3 linked regions of the Schizosaccharomyces pombe genome follow. The protein of the gene in region 2 interacts with the protein of the main gene of each other region in a biochemical or structural test. Each region holds a gene or a part of one and is shown on either strand. Other genes may lie near its edges.

Evidence for each region. The genes of interacting proteins can lie anywhere in the genome.
Region 1: the proteins of rad9 (region 2) and ape2 form a complex in vitro, tested with the Schizosaccharomyces pombe proteins (one study listed by BioGRID).
Region 3: the proteins of rad9 (region 2) and rad4 form a complex in vitro, tested with the Schizosaccharomyces pombe proteins (2 studies listed by BioGRID).

The regions. Positions count from the first base shown.
Region 1 is NC_003423.3:2,411,394-2,418,622, reverse strand, and holds ape2 (aminopeptidase Ape2), read right to left. Parts: upstream 5,646-7,229; 5' UTR 5,117-5,645; coding exon 2,468-5,116; 3' UTR 2,082-2,467; downstream 1-2,081. Other genes in the region: pvg3 (galactosylxylosylprotein 3-beta-galactosyltransferase Pvg1), read left to right, coding at 321-1,457; SPOM_SPBC1921.04C (uncharacterized protein), read left to right, coding at 7,219-7,229.
Region 2 is NC_003424.3:1,711,785-1,719,149, forward strand, and holds rad9 (checkpoint clamp complex protein Rad9), read right to left. Parts: upstream 3,933-7,365; 5' UTR 3,753-3,932; coding exon 3,648-3,752; exon of another isoform or gene 3,595-3,647; coding exon 3,261-3,594; exon of another isoform or gene 3,204-3,260; coding exon 2,590-3,203; exon of another isoform or gene 2,534-2,589; coding exon 2,306-2,533; 3' UTR 2,136-2,305; downstream 1-2,135. Other genes in the region: rpl13 (60S ribosomal protein eL13), read left to right, coding at 1-56; ribosome biogenesis protein rlp7, read left to right, coding at 1,033-1,155, 1,373-1,999; bfr2 (traub family ribosome biogenesis protein), read right to left, coding at 4,429-5,629, 5,691-5,790, 5,837-5,884, 5,927-5,936. UniProt on the Schizosaccharomyces pombe protein: Acts in DNA repair and mutagenesis. Involved in promoting resistance to ionizing radiation and UV light, as well as regulating cell cycle progression after irradiation. Repressor of entry into mitosis that is activated by chromosome breaks.
Region 3 is NC_003424.3:1,056,565-1,064,757, forward strand, and holds rad4 (BRCT domain protein Rad4), read right to left. Parts: upstream 6,349-8,193; 5' UTR 6,298-6,348; coding exon 6,232-6,297; intron 6,175-6,231; coding exon 6,067-6,174; intron 6,001-6,066; coding exon 4,228-6,000; 3' UTR 4,182-4,227; coding exon of another isoform or gene 4,145-4,181; 3' UTR 4,107-4,144; coding exon of another isoform or gene 3,579-4,106; 3' UTR 3,541-3,578; coding exon of another isoform or gene 3,274-3,540; 3' UTR 3,214-3,273; downstream 1-3,213. Other genes in the region: autophagy-associated lipase Atg15, read right to left, coding at 1-851; trm402 (tRNA (cytosine-5-)-methyltransferase), read left to right, coding at 1,831-1,851, 1,901-1,950, 2,059-3,213, 3,274-3,540, 3,579-4,106, 4,145-4,181; DSIF transcription elongation factor complex subunit Spt5, read left to right, coding at 7,303-8,193. UniProt on the Schizosaccharomyces pombe protein: Essential component for DNA replication and also the checkpoint control system which couples S and M phases. May directly or indirectly interact with chromatin proteins to form the complex required for the initiation and/or progression of DNA synthesis.

The DNA of each region.
Region 1 (7,229 bases), on a different chromosome or scaffold from region 2:
TTAACGCATTTATAGTTACCAACGCTATGAGGGCATTAAGGGTTTGAGTAGCTGCTCTTCTGGTTACATTATGACTGCGTATTTATGGTGGACGTGAATATGGCACCAAGCACAGCTTTGTTTTCAGAACCAAACATTATACTCCTTTCAGAGTTATATTCTGTTTGCTGGCTCATATATTCAAGGAGTCTTTTGTTTAATTCTCAACGATCTTTAAGTTTGGTTTTATTTTATTCTTTTATTCAAAGGGACAATTAATATTCACGTCTCTCTAATTGACCTCCTGGCGCAACGTGCTCGTTTAATTAAACTCTTTCACTATGTTTTCAAATTCTAAAAAAAAAATTTTTCTTTACGTGCTAATTGCCGGTGTTGCTACTTTTTCCTTTGCTTTTCTTGTACTAAATCGTCTACAGGCCGAAGAACATTCACTCGCCTACGTAGAGAATTTGTTTTTAGATCCCTTCATTAAGCAAAATGAATCGCTTGCCCATGCGAACGACAGACCTTTCAAACTGTATTTGGGGATTTTTAGTCAAGCTAAGAACGTGGATAGGCGTAACTTTTTACGTACCGACTATAATGAATATATTAAGGAGTTTGCCGTAAATGATACTGTGGATGTTAGATTTATCCTTGGTTTACCTGAGAATGAGCAGGAATTAGCTACCATTCGCGAAGAGCAGCGAACGTATGGTGACTTAGCAGTACTACCTATTCCGGAGAATGTGGATGCTGGAAAGTCCATTGTATACTTCCAAACATTTTTAGAGGGCTACCAGCCGTTTCCTCTTTTTTCTGAACTTGCAGATAATCTTATAATGCCCAGCACTCAGTTTCATGGTAGTTTTATATATAATCAAAGTATTAAGACATATGAGTTGCCTGGTATGAAGGAATTCCAAGATCTCGGCGAGCCAAAGCATGACTACGATTTTATTGTTAAAGCCGATGACGATTCTTTCTTGAATTTACCCCGTCTGTTTGAAATGTTGAAAGAGCACGTTGGGAAAAGCCGCTTTTATTTTGGAAGGGATTGCACACGAAGAGAATTACCTACCGCTGTTCGTGACTTCCCGTACATGTGCGGGTTCTTCTATATAGTATCTCCTGATATGGCTTATGAGGTGGCTAAACGCCGTAATATTATTATTCCGTTTGAAGATGCTCAGACCGGCTATAGCATTTACCTTTCCGGTAATGTAAAAAATGCGGAATTCTCTAAATGCACATTGTATGATTTGATTTTACCCAACGAAGGTTTTAATTATCGTCAAAGCTATTTACGCATTGACGCCATTGCCGTCCATAAGCTTAAAAGCATCCCTCTCTTGTCGACGGTAAGCAATTGGTTTAAAAAAATGTATGAACATCGTGCCAATTGCAGTGCCTTGATAGAAACTGAACGACTTTCGTGTCTTCAGGCAACAATTCCTTTACCTTCTTTGGACGTTTAATCGTTTCTCCTCTATCGTTATTCTTTGCATATGCATTATTCTTCGTTTATGTTTCATTTATTTGATCCGTGCGTAACGTAACGTTTACACATGTTTCATATCTACTAATGCTTCGTTCTTTATAATCTTTTCTCAATTTGTTTTAACCGCCATCTATTGTTAACATAGTTCTTTCTACGTTCTAATTTTTTTTAATTTATGCATTTTTAAACCAGCTAGAGATTTTTTGAGTCACTAAAAATATAAGTATAATCGATGCTCATCTATCTGCAACAAACACATTAAGTCTTTTCAAGTAAATGTAGATACAATCAAAATATTCCTTGAAATCGGCTAAATTTCTCCTTAAATTTCGTTATTTCAAACCAGCGATATGACAGTACCAGCTCCGAGTCGTTAAGGTAGTCACAACCCTACCCTATTAAAAAATGTAATTTACTATATAAACAAGTGCGCTTGCTACATTATTCTTTAATCAAAAAGTTAAGGGGTCAGCCACGGTGGTTATGTGAATTAGTACGTATGCTACTGCCAGAGTCTTTTTAGACTTTGCGACCTCGAGATCAAAACTCGTTGATAAAGAACCTTACTCTTATGTCCTATTAATTTAGGCGATTGGCGTAAGGGCCGACGATACGAGAAATTTATTATATTAGCGTTTTATTATATGATTGAAATTAAAGTTACATTAGTTCCAGTTAATATTCAGTAATTCACCTTCGTTTTGCACACCTTTAGTTGATGTCGGTGTATACTGAAAATAGTAAAGTGCCAGTGTGGAGTAAACAACATACTGTTATAACATAAATTTATAAAACTTTAAATGTATTTTACGTCAGTTTCAAAAATCAAAATTTCATAGATGTATGCAATCTAAGTAAAGGCGTCGTCCATCAGTATATACATAACTTGCAGTAGTCATCGTTCATAAAAACATGGTGATCAACTTGACAGTTTCAAATGCCACAATTTAAGCATTCACCACATACCGTTTCTAAATATGCAAAGACTTACATATAACGATTCTCCTTAAGCCAGCGAGTGATATCATCCAGTGATTTGTCGATGAAACTTGAATTAGCAGAAATAGTGTCCAAAGATTGTTGAAGTGCACGTTCATACAACTTCGTATCTTTATCGGCAAAAAATTCCTTAATTTTATCAATAGCGGAGGCATGAGTGAATCCACTTGTTACGAATCTCACAACGTAGCCACGCATTGTACCAGCAACAGGAAGTCTTGAAAGCAACTTATCCCAGTTAGAAGTAGCAAACTTCCACATTGCCAAAACACCGTTTTTGTGAGTACTCAATGTAACCAAAATAAGATAAATATCTTGTTCCTTGACAATAGGGTCAAGGGTTAAATCCAAAGTTTTTTGAATATACTTTTCATCTTCAGTAACACCAAAGGCTCTCAAACAACTATTACGGACATAAGGATCATTAGTTTTAGTATAAATTTCAAGAAGTTGATCCCACGACTTAGCACCACCATAACGAATTGCAATGTTAAATACGGCGGATCTCAAATTATCATTAATGGCGGACTTATTACCAGACGCGTAAGCATCAAACTTGGAAAGTGCATCCTTAACCACCTTATCATCACCAAACAAACCGGCATAATTGTATACTGTACTCTTAAATTGGCGAATGATATGATCGTCATTTGCCTTGAATTCCCAGCCGAGTGAATGGGCTTTAGTAGCAGAAACCTCCAGAACTAACTTTTTCATTGCAGCAATGATATCAGAACTTTCGAAACGTAAAGTGGACTTTATACCATTCAAGCGGGCAAGCATCTCAGCAAAGACTACAAAGTTAGGCTCGTCTTTCCAAGTTTTGATAAGATCTAAAGTGCTGCTAACTTTACCGTAGCCAGCTCTCGAGAGAGAAGCGACGTCGGCAATTAAACCAGCACGATCCTCGACACTAAGATAATCTGGCTTTTCAACCGCAATTTGAGATAACTTCTTTAAATGATCGGCAGAATAGTTAACACGGTAGATACCAGATTGTTCAGAGTTTAGCTTATAAGATTCGAGAGCCTCTTTATCAACTTTAATTTTCTTGGATCGGTCTGAAAGCACAGCTTTTTCATCAACAACTGCTTTACCATCCTTCATCGTTTTAAGTTTTAAGGGGGCCCAATAAATTACAGTATCTTCTTCGGGTTTAACGTCTCCTGTTGACAAAAATCGATGTTGCTCAATTAAAAGCTCTCCATCATTGGTTTCAGAAACGGATAGCACGGGATAACCTGTCTTCTTAGTCCAATTGTGCATAGTGGAAGAGATGTCCTGACCTGATTCTGCCGACAAGGCAGCCCATAAGTCTTCCGTAACTGTGTTACCATAACGGTGCTTAGAAATGTATTTTTGAATACCCTTAATAAACGTATCTTCGCCAACATACTTGCTAACCATGCGGATAACACAAGAACCTTTAGAGTAAGAGATAGCGTCAAATATTTGGTTAATTTCGTAATCGTGCATAATGGGAACTTCAATAGGATGACTGGAACGAAGTGCATCCAACGAAAGAGCAGATTGAAGGTTGTCTGTAACATAAGATTCCCAAACCTTCCATTCAGGGTAAAAATGGTTACAGCTAAACCATGACATCCAGGTAGCGAAACCCTCATTAAGCCATAAGCCGTCCCAAAATTGCATGGTAACAAGATTACCAAACCACTGATGGGCTAATTCGTGTTGTACAACTTCGGCTACACGTTCAATTACAGTAGCAGCGGAATCCTCAGAAACCAAGATGGCAGCAAGTCTGTAGGTAACTAAACCCCAATTTTCCATAGCACCTGCTTCAAAATCAGGAATAGCAACCATATCGCATTTGGGTAAAGGATATGGCTCGCCAAATACACCAGAGAAGAAGTCTAAGGTCTTAGCACCTAATTCCGCAGCAAATTTACCCTGTTCGGAAAACCCAGGTGTAGTATAAACACGAACAGGAAGACGGGGGCAATGCTTGCCAGGGGTGAAATACTCAACGTATTCGAGTTCGGCAACAATCCAAGCCAAAAGGTAAGTGGACATTCGGCAAGTTTCGGCAAAACGGGCAGTTTTCAAACCATCCTTGACAGTTTCCTCAACGGCATTCATGTTACTAAGGATAGTATAGTTTTCCTTAGCAGTGATATCGATGGTAAAGGTAGCTTTCAAAGCAGGTTCATCCCAGCAGGGGAAAGCACGACGAGCACTAGTAGGCTCCATCTGGGTCGTGGCAAGATACTTGGTATTACCATCGCTGTCAACGTAACTAGAGCGGTAGAAACCCTCCATGCCACTGGAAATACGGGCAGTGAAAGGCAACGTCAAAACAGCAACAGAGTTGGCTGGGACAGTGGAGGGAAATTGAAGAACGATACGCTCATCCCCATAAGAGACTTCGCTGGCCCAGACGGTTTGGCTGCCCCATTCTAACGCAGCCGTCAAAATACGAAGGTTAATGCCATGTAGAGTAATACTGTTGCTGTCCTCAAGTACATCCAAGGTAACGACGACTTTACCGCCGTAAGTGAACGTCTCCAAATCTGGATATAAACTCAAATCATAGTGGATGGGTTTAACATTTTTTGGAAGCAAATTCCGATTTTTATCGTCTTCCTTAGAAGTAGATTTAGGAATGGTGACTTGCATTTTTACAAAAGAAAAATAACGCTGAAAATCAATACAGCTAAACTAGCCAGAGCAATAATGAAGCTGAATAGAGCAAATGTGATACGATAGTGGGAAAGGTGAAGGAAGAATTTGCCAACTAATTAAATAATGGTACAAAAACCGTAGGAAGATGGAATTACGAACGATGAGTCAGTTAGTTAGAAAAAGTATCGATACGAACAAACAAACAGCCGATAACGATCGATAGAGTAATTCAACAGACTCCTTAATTAATCTTAAAAAACCTAACGTTAATTTTAAATTTTAATAGTCAAAGAAATGTAGATGTCGTTTTCCACGCTGTGGAAATGAGAACGATGGGAAACGGGATGGAACAGATGATAATTTGTCCAACAACGCTGAAAAGCACACGATTACACACTTAAACGTAATGATATTTTCCAAGCAACAAACGAAAAACGTAAAGACACTAAACGACGAAAAGATGTAATAGGTCTAAGCTGCCAATGAAGATGGTTAAGTAGGTAGTTGGTGTAAGTAGAAGGTTGGTGAAAGCACTATGTGTGTGTGCCCAGGATATATAAGCGTCTGATGGAGTAAGCATAGTTTCTTCACGTAACATAAGTATCATAAACAACTTATTTTAAAGTAACAACAACAAATGATAAACCCCAATGTCGTAACCGACTCGAAATCCCATATCCAAGGTGATTTTAGGGAGTATAAACGAGCTCTCCTTAAAACAAAAACAGAAGCAACTAGTTAGATATTGATTGATGCTATGAATTCTGCTGCTTTTTTAAGATAAAAAATATTAAATGTAAAACAAGAAGAAACACATCTTGTAGCTTGACAGTTGAGAGAAAACATTTCAAAATCCCCCGAATGTGCTAATGTTGGTGACTTTATCACTCAGTGGAAGATGAGATAGTTAAAGAAACCGGAGCTTTTCGATGTTTAGAATAAAACCACGCAAAAATATATTACCGTTTTGTGCAGAAAAAACTACATCACTTTTCTTGGTTCCGAAGCGCTAAAATTACCGTCGATAAATAGAATAGACAATTCAAGGCAAGACTTGTAACAAGAAAAAAAAGATTTATCCCTCACATAGCAAGGCGTTTTTATTAGGCTTAGAATATTTGGTCTTCAAAAACAGTAAAGCTCGTCCAAGCCAAAAATACTTGGTCTCATCGGTGGTAACGATTGTTTGATTCTATTTACAAACTGCCTTTCTTTCTAAGATTGCTGCGGAGCTTTTCTACTTTGCCTAAGAAAAATGAAATCGGCAGTGCATGTCTTATGACAAAAAAATTTTTGCCCAAGAATATAATTACTTACTGCTCGACTCGCTTATTGTCAATCCTCCTTTAATACCAAAGTCTATTTCTACATATTTGGTAGCACGATCATAGAATTTACGCCAAACGAACGTAAATTTCAATTCCAATCTAATAAATCGTTTGTATGTCACTTAATCGCTCTCATCGTTTCTTCATTCCCGACATCATATTTTTTAATACTTACCGTAACAAAATAAACAAGGGTAAAATTGTCTGGAAACAAAATTACAATACAATTTTGATAATTGACTTTCTTTTGCAATGTGCCGTATACCTCCTTTTATAAGATAAGATCCTCGGATATTGCAGAGAAACACCAACGACTCCTACGATTATAGGATCCTTCCGCACCATTTTAGTGCCCCAGTGTGGGAACTTAATAGATACAACAGAGATAACGATAAGGTGAACAAATATGAAATGCATCTAAACGTTAAACGACATACAGCATGTGCATTGTTAATACCCGTGGAGAAGACAGAGCAAAGAACACTAGGATTTTTTCTTTTATCCACGGCACAATCAACTATGATATTTCACATTACAGCCATAATAGTGACAAAATAGAAATGAACGTAGCTTGTTAAACCCATTGAGTATCCTGTCCGACAAACAAGCTGTCCCTATAACACTAAAAAATGGAAGAAATTTCGATAATTCAAAATTAAGTAAACAGCAGGTTTTTAAAACCCACGAATACAACCAAAATTTACACAAGACAGACAAATACAACCAACACATAACATGAATAATATTAAAATGAATTAAAAAACATTAATGAGTCATAC
Region 2 (7,365 bases):
CTCGCGCTGCTTTCCAAAAGAAGCGTGCTGAAGAGGCCGAGGCTAAGAAGAAGTAAAATGTCTGTAGTTAATGGATCAGGCAGAACTGGAGTATAAATATTTTGTTTGAATTTGGGTAACTTAAGCTTTTTATGTACATTCGCAAACAGTATTGTATCCAGTAGCAGAAGTGGAAGCTAGTTCACTTAAAAAATTTTAAGTAGTTTCACTAAAATTCCTATTTGCATATAACATTGGTGGCTGTTTAAGAGCGTGGTAAATATTGTAGTCTCTTGAGTTTGTAAGTCGTACAGTCGTATTGATAGAATAACCTTGTAATTTCATTTTGAATTGCAAGGGCTTTCATGCATTTTCTTACAGTATATGTAAATTTGTGTTTATCAATTGTTTCCTTTTAATAATTGCTTTCTGATTTTTATAAATGTATATGATTATTTTACATAAATTGCGTGTGGAAAACTATATTTCATCAATGTCACATTTTTTTTTTCAGTTTAGGATGAATGACATTTAAACGGCTACCCTAAGAAGTTAAGGGCTAATAATACAATTATTCAACTTCTCATGTGTTTTCGCACTGTTTCGATTAATGTTGTGCAAAATTTATCATCTCCATATCCCACGTCCCTGAGGAGTTTGAGCACCAGGTGATTACATTCAACATTGATAATATTCCTATTAAAATCGTTTGTATATCTTTTAAACATGAATTTCAATGGTACAAGGTCAATTAGATAAAGTTTGGTCTTGGTTATTAGAAAGAGATGCTTCGATATGGAAGGAGCAATCTACTATTGTGCAATTTTTGTTATATTGTCAAATTAAATTTGCCATAGTTTTTAAACACCATTTTTTACCTTTAAGTACACATTTCAAAGCCTATTTGAAAATCGCTTCAAAATTTTTTTGCGCTTATTAGCGGATTGTAACGAAGAACATTATGTGTCTTAAAGCAGTCACATTTCATAGCTATAATTTTTCGTCTGTCTATAGTCCCAACGTGCCCTCTACTCGTTACTAACAGACGATAAAATGGCGGAGGATGCACCGGTTGTACAACAGACTATGCTTGAACCTGAGGTGCTTTTAAAAAAGCGCAAGGTCAATGAGCGTACTCGGAAAGAACGTGTTGAGCAGGCTATTGCCAAAAAAGAGGTATGTGAATTGCTTGTTCTACAGGTTTGAAATATCCATAATATACATATTTATATGAAAAAGATGAACCTTTCACTCTTGGATTGCTAGTTTCGACGATGCTGCTCCAAAATACCATCTTTCGGCTGATTCATATATTTTGTATTGGTTAAATTTAAACCTTTGACTTCATCAATTTTTATATATTGTTAAAAACATTTTACTAATTTTACTCCAGGCCCAGAAGAAAAATCGTAAAGAAACCTTCAAAAGGGCTGAGACTTTTATTAATAACTACCGCCAACGAGAAAGAGAACGGATTAGGTTAAATCGATCTGCGAAAAATAAAGGAGACATTTTCGTGCCTGATGAAACAAAACTTCTTTTCGTTATTCGAATTGCCGGAGTCAAGAATATGCCTCCTAAAATTCGCAAAGTTCTGCGCTTATTACGCCTTTCTCGAATTAACAATGCCGTTTTTGTGCGAAATAATAAAGCCGTTGCTCAAATGCTTCGAATCGTCGAACCTTATGTTATGTATGGTATTCCCAATTTACATTCTGTTCGTGAACTCATTTATAAACGTGGCTTTGGTAAGATCAATGGTCAGCGTATTGCTCTCTCTGATAATGCATTAATTGAGGAGGCCTTGGGCAAATATGATGTTATTTCCATTGAAGATATCATTCATGAAATTTACAATGTAGGCTCTCATTTTAAGGAAGTTACTAAATTCTTATGGCCATTCACTTTGACTCCAGTTAAACACAGTTTGATGGAGAAAAAGGTCAAACATTTTAATGAGGGTCGAAAGGCTGGCTATTGTGGAGAAGAAATTAACGAATTGATTAAGAAACAAGTTTAAAACTTTCTTTGAGTTCGTGTAATGACTTAAATTTTGCATTCAGATGAAAATGCAAAAATGTATATTAGACTTTTTATAGGCCGTGGATTGGAATTTAATTAATTGGGTTACATTATTCACTATCTTATTGATTTATTAGAACTACTATGTAACGTATCGTATGATGAGGGTAATTTTGTAGTTAAAAAAAACTAAATTATTGATAAATATTGTACATTATATAATATGAGTGCTGTGTTTTATGAGGTTGTCACAAGCACCTGTAAATGTTCATAATTTTACACACCATAGCAAAGAAGGATTTTCCTAGTCTTCCTGAGAGAAAATGCCATGATAACTTTGTTCAGCTTGCGTTGGTCCAAATTCGGCATCATCGTTCACATCATTATTAAAAGCAGCAAGCTCGGATTCATTAGGAATACCATCTAAGAACAATGATTGACCAGCATCGTTTGTGGTTGATGGCTCCTTAATGCCATTAGTTTCGTCGCTTCGGTCAAGCGCAGAATTAAACATTCTGGATGAGTCACTTTGCTATAAAGTTAATGTTAATAAATTATTGTACTTAGTACTAAAGCCGAATTACATACATCAGTTTGCCATCCAATAGATCCAGGGGGATTATGTGCTACAGCAGTCAATGAGTTGTTGCGCTCTACTGAATTGAACAGAGAAGCTGGTGTTGAACTGTGCTGCCATCTATTTCCCATCATAGATGACACCTCTTGTTCATCTGATCCAACTACAGTTGCAAGAATGAACTGCGCTTCAATTTCGGAATTTTTCCCTTTTGCAAAAGTTAAAAGTATCGGTTTTCCTGGGACACCGTAATATGCACAAATCGAGCTTCCCAATGCCTCTGCTAAAATGACGGCAGCACGAAATTCACGTAGAGAAAGGGTAACAGAGACTCCCTCATTAAGTGCGACGCGTTCAAATTCTTTACCATCAATGGAAACAGTTGTTTGGGTAGGTTGCTTCAAAATATCTCTATTATGTACGACCTCTTCTGTGAAACTTGTAAGTAAAACACGTTCTTGAAGTGGTTGAATTGTAAGCTCTTCCGTTCTCTGACCAAAATGTTCAGTCAAATCTTTTAGAATTTTTGAGTTTATTTGAAAATTATTGTGACTAAGAGATTTATCAAAAACAGCGTGTAAAGTTTGGGTTTGTTCATATGATATTTTATATGTTTTAATCACTCCTTGATGAATAAACGTTAGTAGAGCAAATAAAATAATAAGACGGACAAACTACGTACCGTGCTTGCATAAGAATTTAAATATAATCCTACACTCGCTACCAGTAGAGATTGAGATTTGAACATTCTCGACAATCACATCTTTTCTGCTTGCAGATTCACTGCCATAACCGTTCTTGCTATTGGTAGTGACGACAGTCGGGATGAAATCAAAGATTTTGTTTCTAAACACAGATAGTATGGGCTTGACTTGCGTACGAATACGTATTGTAGGAGTCATCAATCCCGTCAACAGGACGGAATCCGGCTGAAAAATGTACTTGTCAAAAAATGCCTTTTTTAAAGTCACCATGCTAAATCCTGACCTAGAAGAATTTAAACATGTAATCTCTATCTTTACCAATTAGTTTCAATGTTTAGTAAGGTTTGAAAAAAGTTCCAACACACCTGATTTTTGTTAATTTCCCAGTTGACAGCATCATCGATTCTAGAAAGATTTGTAAAGATCCTTGCGAGGTCCCGAAGATTAACATTTGAAACAGTGAATTCCATTTTATATACCAGTACGTGAATTGATGTAGACGAATGCTGAACGAATAACGATAGTTTCTAGTCGATATGACGATTAATTTCTTAATTCATGCTAATAGAAGTAAATAAATCTCGACAATTTTTGACAAACAGAATTGAAACTGGTATATACAGAGGTAAATCTATAATGTGGTGTTTTCTAGCACCTGCTTTAACGCACTTATATTAGTATAGACACGCGCGCCGAAATTTGTACGAAAGTGTAATGGCCAACATCAATCGCAAAATAATCTGTATATACACAATGAATTGTAATAAGAAGAAACTTATAGCTGCTTTTAATTTGCAGCAGAAAGAGTTCAACTGTACATCATATAAACGTACATACTTTTATGCTTAAAATACTAAAGTGCACAAAAACTAAAACCTTCAGCCCAAGATAACCCTTTATTACTTGTAATTGCCCGACATTGTGACCATCTATGTAACCATATATATGTTAAATTTTTTTATTAACCTAAATAATTGTAAACGAAATATATTATAATAGAACCAAAATCCGCGAATGCCCTTTTTAAAACCGAAAAAAGATATACTGTAAGTAAAAATAATCATGCACCCTAAATGTTTAGCACAGCTTGCGTATATTAAAAAAAAGACAAATAGTGAAGCTTATCCAACACGCACAAGCTTATTTTCAACCGAAGAGAGAAAATCCGTCGTTGGAAGAGATCAGTTCATCATCCTTCTCCACGAAGTTTGAAGTATTTGTATCATTAGCTGTCTCTGATAAATCTAATTGTTGACCCAACAGACTACTAAACAAATCTTCAGTTTGTTCATCCGGCCATACAGTCACTTCAATGGGAGCCATAAAATTTTGTAATTTATCATGAACGTGATACCTTATTTTTCGACCTTTGGATGCCTTAGTATCAACGTTTTCTTTCTTCTGTTTTTGCTTTTTTGTAGCCATCCAACGAACAGTGCCATCTCGAGTAGAGTCTGCCATTCTAGAATTAATGAAATCCTTCAATAATGATTGATAAAAATCCGTGTCGTTGTAAATTTCGGGATTGAAAGTTTTGTTGTTAGGGTCACTGTAATCAATTCTAGTGCGCTCGACCAAATCTTTCTTGTTAATCATAGAATTTTCGATTTGTTGAACAATACTTTGATTTAGAGCCTTGAATTTGTTAGATTGCGAAATCCCTTGCACTGCTTGAACCCGATTATGCCATTTGGTTAAAGTATCATTTTTCCACTCATTCAAAGAGTCGTCAAGGTTATTCATTTCTAAAGCAATTTCTTCTAGACTAACAGGATTCTCTTTTCTTTTTGATCTACTGTCAAGAATTTCCACTCCAGAGTCAATAAGTAAGTTTTTCCTCAGCTGTAAAGTGTGTTGAATAAAAGATACTAAACCATCTCGGGCTTCTACTTTATCACCTTGAAGTTGGTTGCTGGAAGAAAGAAGTTGACTACATCCTTTTTGAAGACGGATTCTAGTATCTAAAACATTATCGTAAAAACGCATCTGCTCCTTCAAAGCTAAACCCTTTTTCATGTCTTCAAGGGCGGATGTACGAATTTGATCAGATAGCTTTTTCTCTCCATTTATAATCTTTTTTAAACGATCCATGTCTTTTTCAGGAATGGCAGAAGATTGGTCGTCATCTTCATTTTCCTCAGAAATTGATGAAGCTTCTGAGCTTGAAAAATTTTCGTGATCTTCTGAAACTGCATCATTTTCGTCTTCCTCCGAATCTTCTTCTTCAGATGGTGATGAAGATTGAGAGTTTAAAGAACCGCTATTAAGTAATTCCTGGCGAGACGTTTTTCTTCCTTTAAATTTTGGGTCTAACTGAGGAGCCTGTTTTGAGCGTAATTTACTTTCACTATAAAATATGAAACATTAGTATAAGCTCAAATACGCAAAAGTAAAAATTTTGAACATACCTAACATCAACATAATGTTCTCTCCCTAAGGTATCGTTTTCTTCTTCGCTAGAGTCCTCTCTATCAGAGAATGCGTCCTCTAAAGCTTCAGGGTCTCTTTCTATTTATGTGAGTAAGAATCCCGGAATTTTTCGTTAATAACATACCCTGCGGTTGAGGGTTTAGCATCCCTGCCAATTCATCTTTTAAAGAAACTAAAGATTTATTAGAACCTAAAAATATCTTATTGAACTTACCTTTACCCATTTTGAGCAAATTTTGATGTGTCTGGGACTGGGTAAGTGAAGGGGTGTGGGTTAGCAAAATTATCATTGTATGAAATAAATATAAGAATGAAGTTTGAAGGCATTTATCGGATTCAGCTAGTACAGACGAGGTTATATTACTTTGTTTGAAATAAATAATATGGTTTTTATGAAGCAACCAAAAGTTGAAAAAACGAACACAGCACGAGAGTTGATTATATTAGTAAAACGACGTAGAGAATGCAACCGACTAAAGTATCGATTTTTAAAGGGCTAAAAATTGTTCGTTAAAGCTCAAGGTAAAAACTCGGAAATTCCCCACATCTTGCTTCTTTCTGTCTAGACAATGTAACTAAACAATTACCAATTTATTATTTTATTGTTTGACTGTGTATTATGCTAACGAGTATTATGTCTCTCTAAAACTGTTATAAGAATAGGAGTTGAGTTTTGGTAAGTGTATGCTTGCTGTTTCCAATAAAAGCGGTCTCTATTTAACTTGTTGCTTATTTTTAAAAAGCAAAAAAATATCTTAAAACAGTGTTGATTTTAAGTAATGTTTACAATTAAATTCAAAAATTTCGTTACACATACGATTCGAAAATGGGGTGCTGCTGTAAAAGAACGAGACGTAAACTCTTATACTTAAAAAAATAAAATAAAATCTAATTTGTTTTTTTTAAAGTTTCATACCTTGCTTTTGTCAATATTATTCCAATACCCTTGCATACTGCTTTTGCTCAATAATATTTTAAATCGAATCGGTAACAGAGTATATGTGAAAGAAAATAAAAACATTTAAAAAAAAGTTTTTCAAAAAATCTGGAACCAAATGAATTGGGCATTGAAATACTATTTGTCCTTGATAAAAATCTTTGCCCATGTAAATAAATCCAGGATTAGACTAACACATCAAAATTTGAATTAATCGATGAGTTAAAATGAATCGCTTTCGACCCTATTATATTAGTTTTATATCAACTATAAGAAAAAAGTTCCTAAAAACAATTTGTAATATCATAAACATCGATGTTGCAAACCATTATTAGACAGATAGATGAAAGACTACAAAATCAAATACATTTAATACCGATTTTCTATTATCTATCTTTCATGGAATATCCATTTTCAAAGTGCTCATTCATAAACATTGAATGAATTGTGCATTCATCGCCATATTATTCGGCCTCGCTTACTAGTCGATCAATTGGGATTTTCGAAGGATCTACCTATCGATTTAGAAATTTTTTGCCAATATGCGGTTTTTAAAAACAAAAGATATGAAAGATATTTTAGTCAGTAAAATGCATTTGTTAGTTTTGCCGGCTTCACAGTCAAAACCATGTTTTCGGTTGTATAAATTAGATATGTGGTTTGCTCCACCAATTTGCCTCCCGCTTATTTCTCTCAACTTGCACGCACACAGCAAA
Region 3 (8,193 bases), 660 kb from region 2:
AATGAGTGTCCAGTCAGCCAAATCTGTGCATCAGGGTATAATTCTTTAACACTATAAAAAATATCCAATGATGCAGAATAATACCTTGAGTCATCTTGCACTTCATCCTCAAGGCAAGTTTGACTACAGGTGTATGTATTTTTATAGCAACCACAAACCGTAGACCAAGCCCAGCTGACACGAGCGCAACAACAGGAAAAAAGTAAATTGTCATTAACGCGATCCTTCTGCGAGGTACCGCGTCCGATTCCGAAGATGGACGTACCTTTCATCGCAATAATTATAGTGGAATTGTCATCATTGGAAAAAACATGTCCACGTAGACCATCTTCCTCCCAACCAAATCCTTCAGGTGGAGTTATATTCCAATCAGGTCCTAAATCTAACCAGTCCCCGTCGAAAGGAATTTTTTGGTAAGCATTGTAGCTCATCTTTCCAAGGGAGTAAATCGTTTCTTTATCAGTAATATCAGGAATCACGATTGCTTCCTGTTCCCATAAATCAGCTGGTGAATTCGCTTCAGAATAAATTCCTTTCATAGACTTATATCTATAATCAGTCAACGCATCGCGAGACTGATCCTTCAAGTGAACGGAATATCCTTTCTTCATTTTCAACGGCAATTTTGATTCACTCTCTGCGTAAACACTTTTCTTGGCCACATCTAGTCGATAATATGATATACTGTCCTCATTGAGTCCGTAATGAAATACATGCTGTAATTTGACATTAACCTTATCAGGCACATTTTCCGAAGATTTGATAACACTTTCAAATACTCCTGTACAACTAATCCTAATGATGAAACAAAAAAGGAAGAAAAAGCGCCTCAAGAATAGCAATTGAGACATTGCATGAATAGTTTGCTTTCCTTTTGTTTAAAAGAGCAACCGAAAAACGTTATGCGAATCTAATCCTCAATTCTAATAAATACAATGGGATAATTCAATGATTATGCTTTATCAGCTCATGTACATGCTTAACTCGTTTATGTTGCTCATAAATAGATGTTTTAAGTTACTTAACGCCTTTGGTAAGCAATAATTAATACATTACACTGCAGTAAGTTACGCATCATAGCGTGGTGTTGTATGCTGATAATGTCGCTATTTGATATAATATCTAGGTAATGGACACTGTAATTTGTGAATTTAGGATGAATGTATGGCATACAGGTTTTGTGACATGTTCTTCATAACGATACCGGAGCCTTAGACTATAATAATGCTATGATTGTAAGATTTATTTATATTGTTCCTAAATACGGCAATGTTCCTTCTCAGAAAAGACTTTGCAAATGTAACATGTTTTGCTATGGAGGACAAGGTATGAATTAATCATCCTTCGCTTTATAGTAGCACATTAGGTGCTTTTTATTCCCATGCTTAGCGGTAACCTATTTAATGGCAATAATGAACGCTTGAAATTTAACTATATTAGCAGTATGCGCAGCTCTTGTTGTTTCCCTAAAAGAATAAAGTCATATATGGATATATTCTCCTACATACGCATACTGATAACGATATCAACGTAAACATTTTTAAAGTCAGTTGGAAGAATTTAGATGTCCAATCTGAATTTTCTGTTTTTAAAGTCACCAAGACCTTCCAAATACAAATGCAAATCAGCAGTTTTGTTCAGCGTCAGAACCTTAGTTAGCATGATCTTTATCGTTATTTTAGCGATAAACATTTTTTCAAAGAAGTGCTAGGTCTCGTAAATAAAAAATAAAGACACATTGCATTGCAAAGTTTGCTTAACACTATTGAAGTTGAATTTTTATGTCTAGTAAACACTGAACTCTGGTTTGTGAGTAAATTATTGTTTGTAATGGGGAAAAGAAATAAAAAGGTATGATACTTTGTTAATCGGCCTTCTTTTTTTTTTTTAACAAAGATAGGTGACTCAGGGCAAAAGGGCTTACAATGACAAAAGTGAAATTGTCTTAGAGTAAGTGTACAAAGGTGCTTTTTTACGGGGTTTAAAGCTTTATTGGGATATTTTTAAGAAATACATTGAAAAGATCATTATTGTAGGAAATAGTCAGCTAACATGCAGAAATAAACAATTCGAAGGTTACTATAAAAAGCAAAATTTATTTCGAGGAAAGCCAAATGATGAGTTTGATAGCTTTATGGAATATATGAGAAAGCCCTTACCAACTACATTTCGTATTTGTGGATATCGTCACCATGCTTTTGAACTAAAAAACCATTTTGAAAAATACTACGTACCAAGCCTTAAAAATGTCGTCCATGAGGGTCAAACTATTCCACCTCCAACAGTGCTGCCTTGGTACCCAGATGGTCTTGCATATATTGTCGATGCGCAAAAAGATGTTATTCGAAAGAGCCCGCCTCTTAAACGACTTCAGCGGTTTCTTGTAAGTGAAAATGAAGCTGGAAACATTAATCGTCAAGAAGCGGTTAGCATGCTTCCTCCTCTATTCTTAGACGTTGAGCCACATCATGTAATTCTGGATATGTGTGCTGCTCCGGGATCTAAGACTGCGCAGCTTATTGAAGCTGTTTATAAAAAAGCCAATATCAAGGATGCTGCTCATGACAGCAAAAATCTCAAGAGTGTTGAAGGTCTTGTAATTGCTAATGACGCTGATCCCAAACGAGCCCAAATGCTTGTTCACCAAATCAATCGTTTAAATTCCCCGAATATTTTGGTTGTTAATCACGATGCATCGACAATGCCCAATATCTATGTCAAAGGTTCATCTCCTTCTGACGGCTTAAATGTAATTGAAGAAAAAAAAATTTTAAAGTTTGACCGTATTTTAGCCGACGTGCCTTGTTCAGGAGATGGCACTTTCCGCAAAAATTTGTCTCTTTGGAGGGAATGGAGTGCCAATAGCGCCTTTAGCCTTCACCCTTTGCAATTGAGAATTTTGATCAGAGGATTGCAACTTTTAAAAGTGGGTGGTTGTTTGGTTTACTCAACATGCTCCATTAATCCCATAGAAAATGAAGCTGTTGTAACAGCTGCATTGAAGGCTACTGGTGGTGCAGTTTCTCTTGTTGATGTGTCTAAAAAACTACCCCTACTTAAGCGTGATCCCGGTCTTTTATCTTGGAAGGTTTTGGATGATTCTCTTAACGAATTTCAATCACCTGCTGAGAACACCAATGATAAGATCGAGTTAACCGAATCCATGTGGCCTCTTCCTGAGGAGGAAATGAGCAAACTCCACATAGAAAGATGGTAGGTTTATTTGCCTGGATGAGAACTTTGAAACTTTATCATTTTCTAATCTCTTAATAGTGCCAGACTATATCCCCATATGCAGAATACTGGTGGTTTTTTTGTGGCCGTACTCCAAAAAACTGATCCTATTAATTCCCGTTCGTTTGATCCCAAAAAGTATACTGCTAGTATGGAAATTCTACCACCCGAGAACAAGAGACAAAGGACGGAAAAGGGTGTTGACGAAGCTTCTAATTCTACATTAACTAAATCTGGCAACAGTTATTTTGATGAAGAGCCCTTCGTATACATTAATCCTGATGATACTAGCATCAAAACTATTGTGTAAGTTATATTACCATGGCAGGCAAACTAACCCATAGTGATTTTTATGGTATCGATCCTAGTTTTCCCCGTGATCAATTTTTTGTTAGAAATCAAAGCGGTATTCCCGTTAGATCAATTTATTTTGCATGTTCTTTGTTCAAAGAAATTATTGAAGCCAACACGAATCGTGTGAAATTCGTGCACGGCGGTGTTAGATTCTTTGTAAAGCAGGAAATCAGTCAACTGTTGAAAGATTTCTCGCTAAAAGCTAACAAAGATATTTGCAATTTTCGTATTCATAGTAACGGTGTCAATATCATTAGCCCTTTCTTAAACGAGAAGCATTTTTACGATGCTGGGTTAAAAGATTTAAAAATTTTGGTTAAAAACGAGTACCCACATGTTGAGCAGTTTTCTGAGAGCGGAATGTTAAAAAAGGAATTTGAAAAAATGCCTCTAGGATGTAACATCCTTAGAGTGGATGCTCAAACAAAAGATGGTGCACTCATGGATATGTTAATATTACAGCCTATCTGGCGAAGCCCTACGAGCTGTAATTTAATGCTTGCTAGAAAAGAGAAGCAGTAAGTCACGTTTAATGTTTTTTGTTACTAACTTTAAGAAATCTTTCGTTGGAATTATTTGGAATGGACGTGTAAAAATAATTAAACTTGACATAAACTATACATATAAATAAACAATGTTTCAACGCCTACGGAGTTTTCGATGACTCTCGGTAATTAATAGAAGCCCATTTTCTTGATTTTGGAGATCATTAGCAGGCGGGATAGCATCTACATTAGAAGTCAACTGAGCATAAAGCTTATGTTTCTCACGTTGAGCGTCTGGATCTATATATGAAACATGCTCTTGTGGAGATGTCGGAGTTTCTGGTTTTGTAACTGATGACTTCCAAACAGTATCAATCTTGTCGCCCGGTACTGTCACGGATCTCCGAGGAAATATGGTTGAATCTTTTGAATTAGAATTTAGTTGAATCAATGTATTAGACCTAATATGGTTGTTTTGGCGCTTTTTAACCGATAATAAGGAAGGAGAATTATGAGGCGTAGAATGTCCTATTGGCTGCTGAGCAAGAGAATTTTGTAATCGTGTATCTCTATCAGACGTTGGAAATACCATATTATTTTGGTTTGTAAATTTTTTTATTTCTTGATTTTCTTTCTTATCGATAGCCCATGGAGAAACTTGATCAATGAATTTTCCGCTTTGAATGATGTTCCATAACCAAGCTACTCCGACGACTCTAACGTTCCATTCTGTAGCATGTTGTATTTTAAATCTAGTTTTCATACTGAAAGGTTCATTTGTGTTTACCAACAAAATACTTCGTTGGACCCCAAGAAATTCATGCACAACTGCTCCCAAGATGGTGAGAGCCTTCTTCAAATGCGAAAGTTCTTCCCCCTTAAATCCAGTAAGATGAATGCTAAGACCATTAAAATAAGGAACCAGAGATGGACGAAAAAAAGGTTTTGCTAAGGCATGTTCATCGATTCCAAAGATTTTTTTGTAATAAAGACACCTTTCTATCCACCACTCATTAACTGTAGGAAATGAGAAGATGGGCAATTCATCGACAGGGAAATAATGAGGTATAACGACAAAATCAATGGTAGAAGACAAAAATTCAGAAATCTGGCCTCCATTATCGCTCAAACATTTATGAAGCCTGGAGACCTTAGTGTTTGGAAACTCGTAAAGATAAAAAGTCAAATTTTTAAAAAGTTTAGCTTCGTTTTCGATGTTGAGTTCCGTATCTAATTCGTTTTCTTCTAAGGGTTGAACAGTTTCGGGAGTGAAATCATCCAGTAGTACTGAATTTTCTTCAGAACGGCTGGAAAATTCAAATTTTCCATTATTAAGTTCTTCCCATAAAATACTTCTATCTCTCTTCTTTCCCCGTTTCATAATCACGGGTTCTAAATCCGCTTCCTCCGCCAATGCAGCCAAGGATTGACCAGACTTTTCTTTATTCTTGCTTATTTTTTGGTTTTCAGAATAAGACTTTGCCTCCGTAGTATTGGGATCTAGACGAACATACGCGCCAAGTCCAATTTTTTCGGCTGGCATATCCAATTGGAAATACTGCGGCTCAAGGACAGCATTCCTTTGTATACTTTGCCATAACCATTCAACGCAAACTACGTTGATTTTCCACTTTAATGCATATTCATATTTGCGACCCGATGAGGTGCCAGCTATTAAATGAGTTACGTCTCTAGTTAAGTCAGGGCAAAATGTACCACCATGCTTAAGCACATAATTTTCAATACGAGATCTCTCTGGTTGGCCAATGTTGGTAAGACAAACCCGGCATTTAAATAGAGTTGGTAGAAAGTGTTTATCGACGAGCAGGCCATCATCCAGATCTTCTCCCTGTACCCAGCTTTCATAAAGAACAGGTATCCATTCACTAGACATAATCTTTATGTCTGGTCTGGATTTTGCGGCAAACTATTGAAAAGAATGTCAGCATTTACTCTTGAAGGATAGTGTAATTTGTAAGATTTTACGACATACCTTGTATTTTGGAGTATCAAAATCGCCGGCTATAAGATGCGTGACATCCTTAGTAAAGTCTGATCTATAGGCAGCACCAAGTTTAGTTGCTTTTGTAGATATCTCGGTCTGTCAAGTTAGTAACACAAATAACAAAAAATGCGATTCGTCGTGCAAAAATCTTACCCTTTGCTTTAAATCGATACTGGTACAACATATCACGAAGCCTTTGAGTGGTTTAGAAGAACCCATTCTTTCACTACCGACATTTATGAGTTCTAGGTGAGTAGGTATAGGTAATTTACGAGTACAAACGCGTCCATCACCACTACATATTATTGTGAGGAAATGCAAAAATTGGTAATGTTTAAAAGGGAAAATAAAGAATGTTTAGAGAAAATCGACTTTCGAAGGTTAAGAGTAGATTGAAGCTAAAACCAAGTTGTTATATGCTACCGTGGTGGGTGCGAAGATTGACAAATGGAGAGTCATAAAAGGCCAAAATTAAATTTTAAGCATTTATTCGAAAAACTCGACTGTATTGGCAATGTACACGATGCTGTATAGCTGAGTAGCATCATTGGTTTGGGGGAAATTATGAACAAGCACCAAGAGCTGGCTATTATATTATTCCTCATTTAACCTGTATCATAATTATAAGATTTATTGAGTAAGAAGATAGTATATGGACACCACCTTTGTCCTATATTCTCTCGGTAAAAAATATCCTCTTATCCAGTTTAATATTTATATTGGATTTTAGTAACGCAAAGGGATATTGCCCTAAAGGGTTCATAGTTATATGGAATATAACATAATATTACAATTTAAATGTAAGATGAATTTATTGATAATCTGAGCATCCCATTATCTTTAATTTCAATTAAACCAAGTCTAACTTTAAGATTGTGTATGGCATTTCGTGTATACAAGTTTGTTTACCAGCAGTGGCAATTGCTCAAGCTTACCATTAAAGCAAATACTTTTAAAGCAAAAGTTTGATTTTACAAAAAAACCGTAAGTATTCCATTCTAAATTGCTTCTTTCGTATATCTATACTCTTGTCGCTGCAAGCCATACAAGACCTACTTGCTTGGTAAAATAGGGCAGCAGTACGTACTGTAAGTCACCTTTAACAAAACACCACTTGTTGAATAAAAAGTTCATTAATCGGCGAACCTATCGCCTATATTAGATTAAAGGTCTAAAAACAAAGCATTGAGGGAATAGGTACTATTTCCTCTTTTTTAAGTCACAATGGATACGAATTCTCCGAAATCTATTGATAAAGATGCAAATTCGACTGAGGTAGATGCAGCTGAGCAAGATGCTGCTTCAGTTAAAATCAATTCTACCCGTGCATCCCCCAATGGAAGTGACTTGCTGAATGATGATTCTGAAGCTGCTAAAATTACTACAAATGAAAAACAGAGTTCTCCCGTGGATTCCCATAACGAAAGTCCAAATGATACCACAATTAATAAAGGCGAAGATGGGAATGAAAACGAAGTCGATAATGTAAATAACAATGACAAAAAAGAAGATGAGGATAATGTTGAAGAAAACGAGGAAGAAGCTGATGCAAACGAAGAGGAAGAAGAGGATGAAGAAGATGATGAGGAAGACGAGGAAGATGAAGATGAATCAGGTGGCGGTAGAAGAAAAAGGGCTCGCCATGACCGCCGCAACCAATTCCTTGATATTGAAGCAGAAGTAGATGAGGACGAGGAAGAGCTTGAAGATGAGGAAGATGAAATTGGTCGTGAAGATGGTTTCATTGAAGAAGAAGTTGGAGCGGATTACGTCGGTGATGATCGTCGCCATCGTGAACTTGACCGTCAAAGACAGGAACTACAATCTGTTGATGCTGAACGCCTTGCTGAGGAGTATCGTGAAAAGTATGGTCGTAGCCAAACTGTTGTTGGAGATACAAGCAATGTTCCCCAACGTCTTCTACTTCCTTCAGTGAATGATCCCAATATTTGGGCTGTTCGCTGTAAAATTGGCAAAGAAAAGGATATTGTTTTTACCATAATGCGGAAAGCTATGGATTTGCAATATACTAGCTCTCCATTAGAAATCATTTCAGCATTTCAACGTGACTCGCTGGTCGGTTATATATACGTTGAAGCTCGAAAGCAATCACAT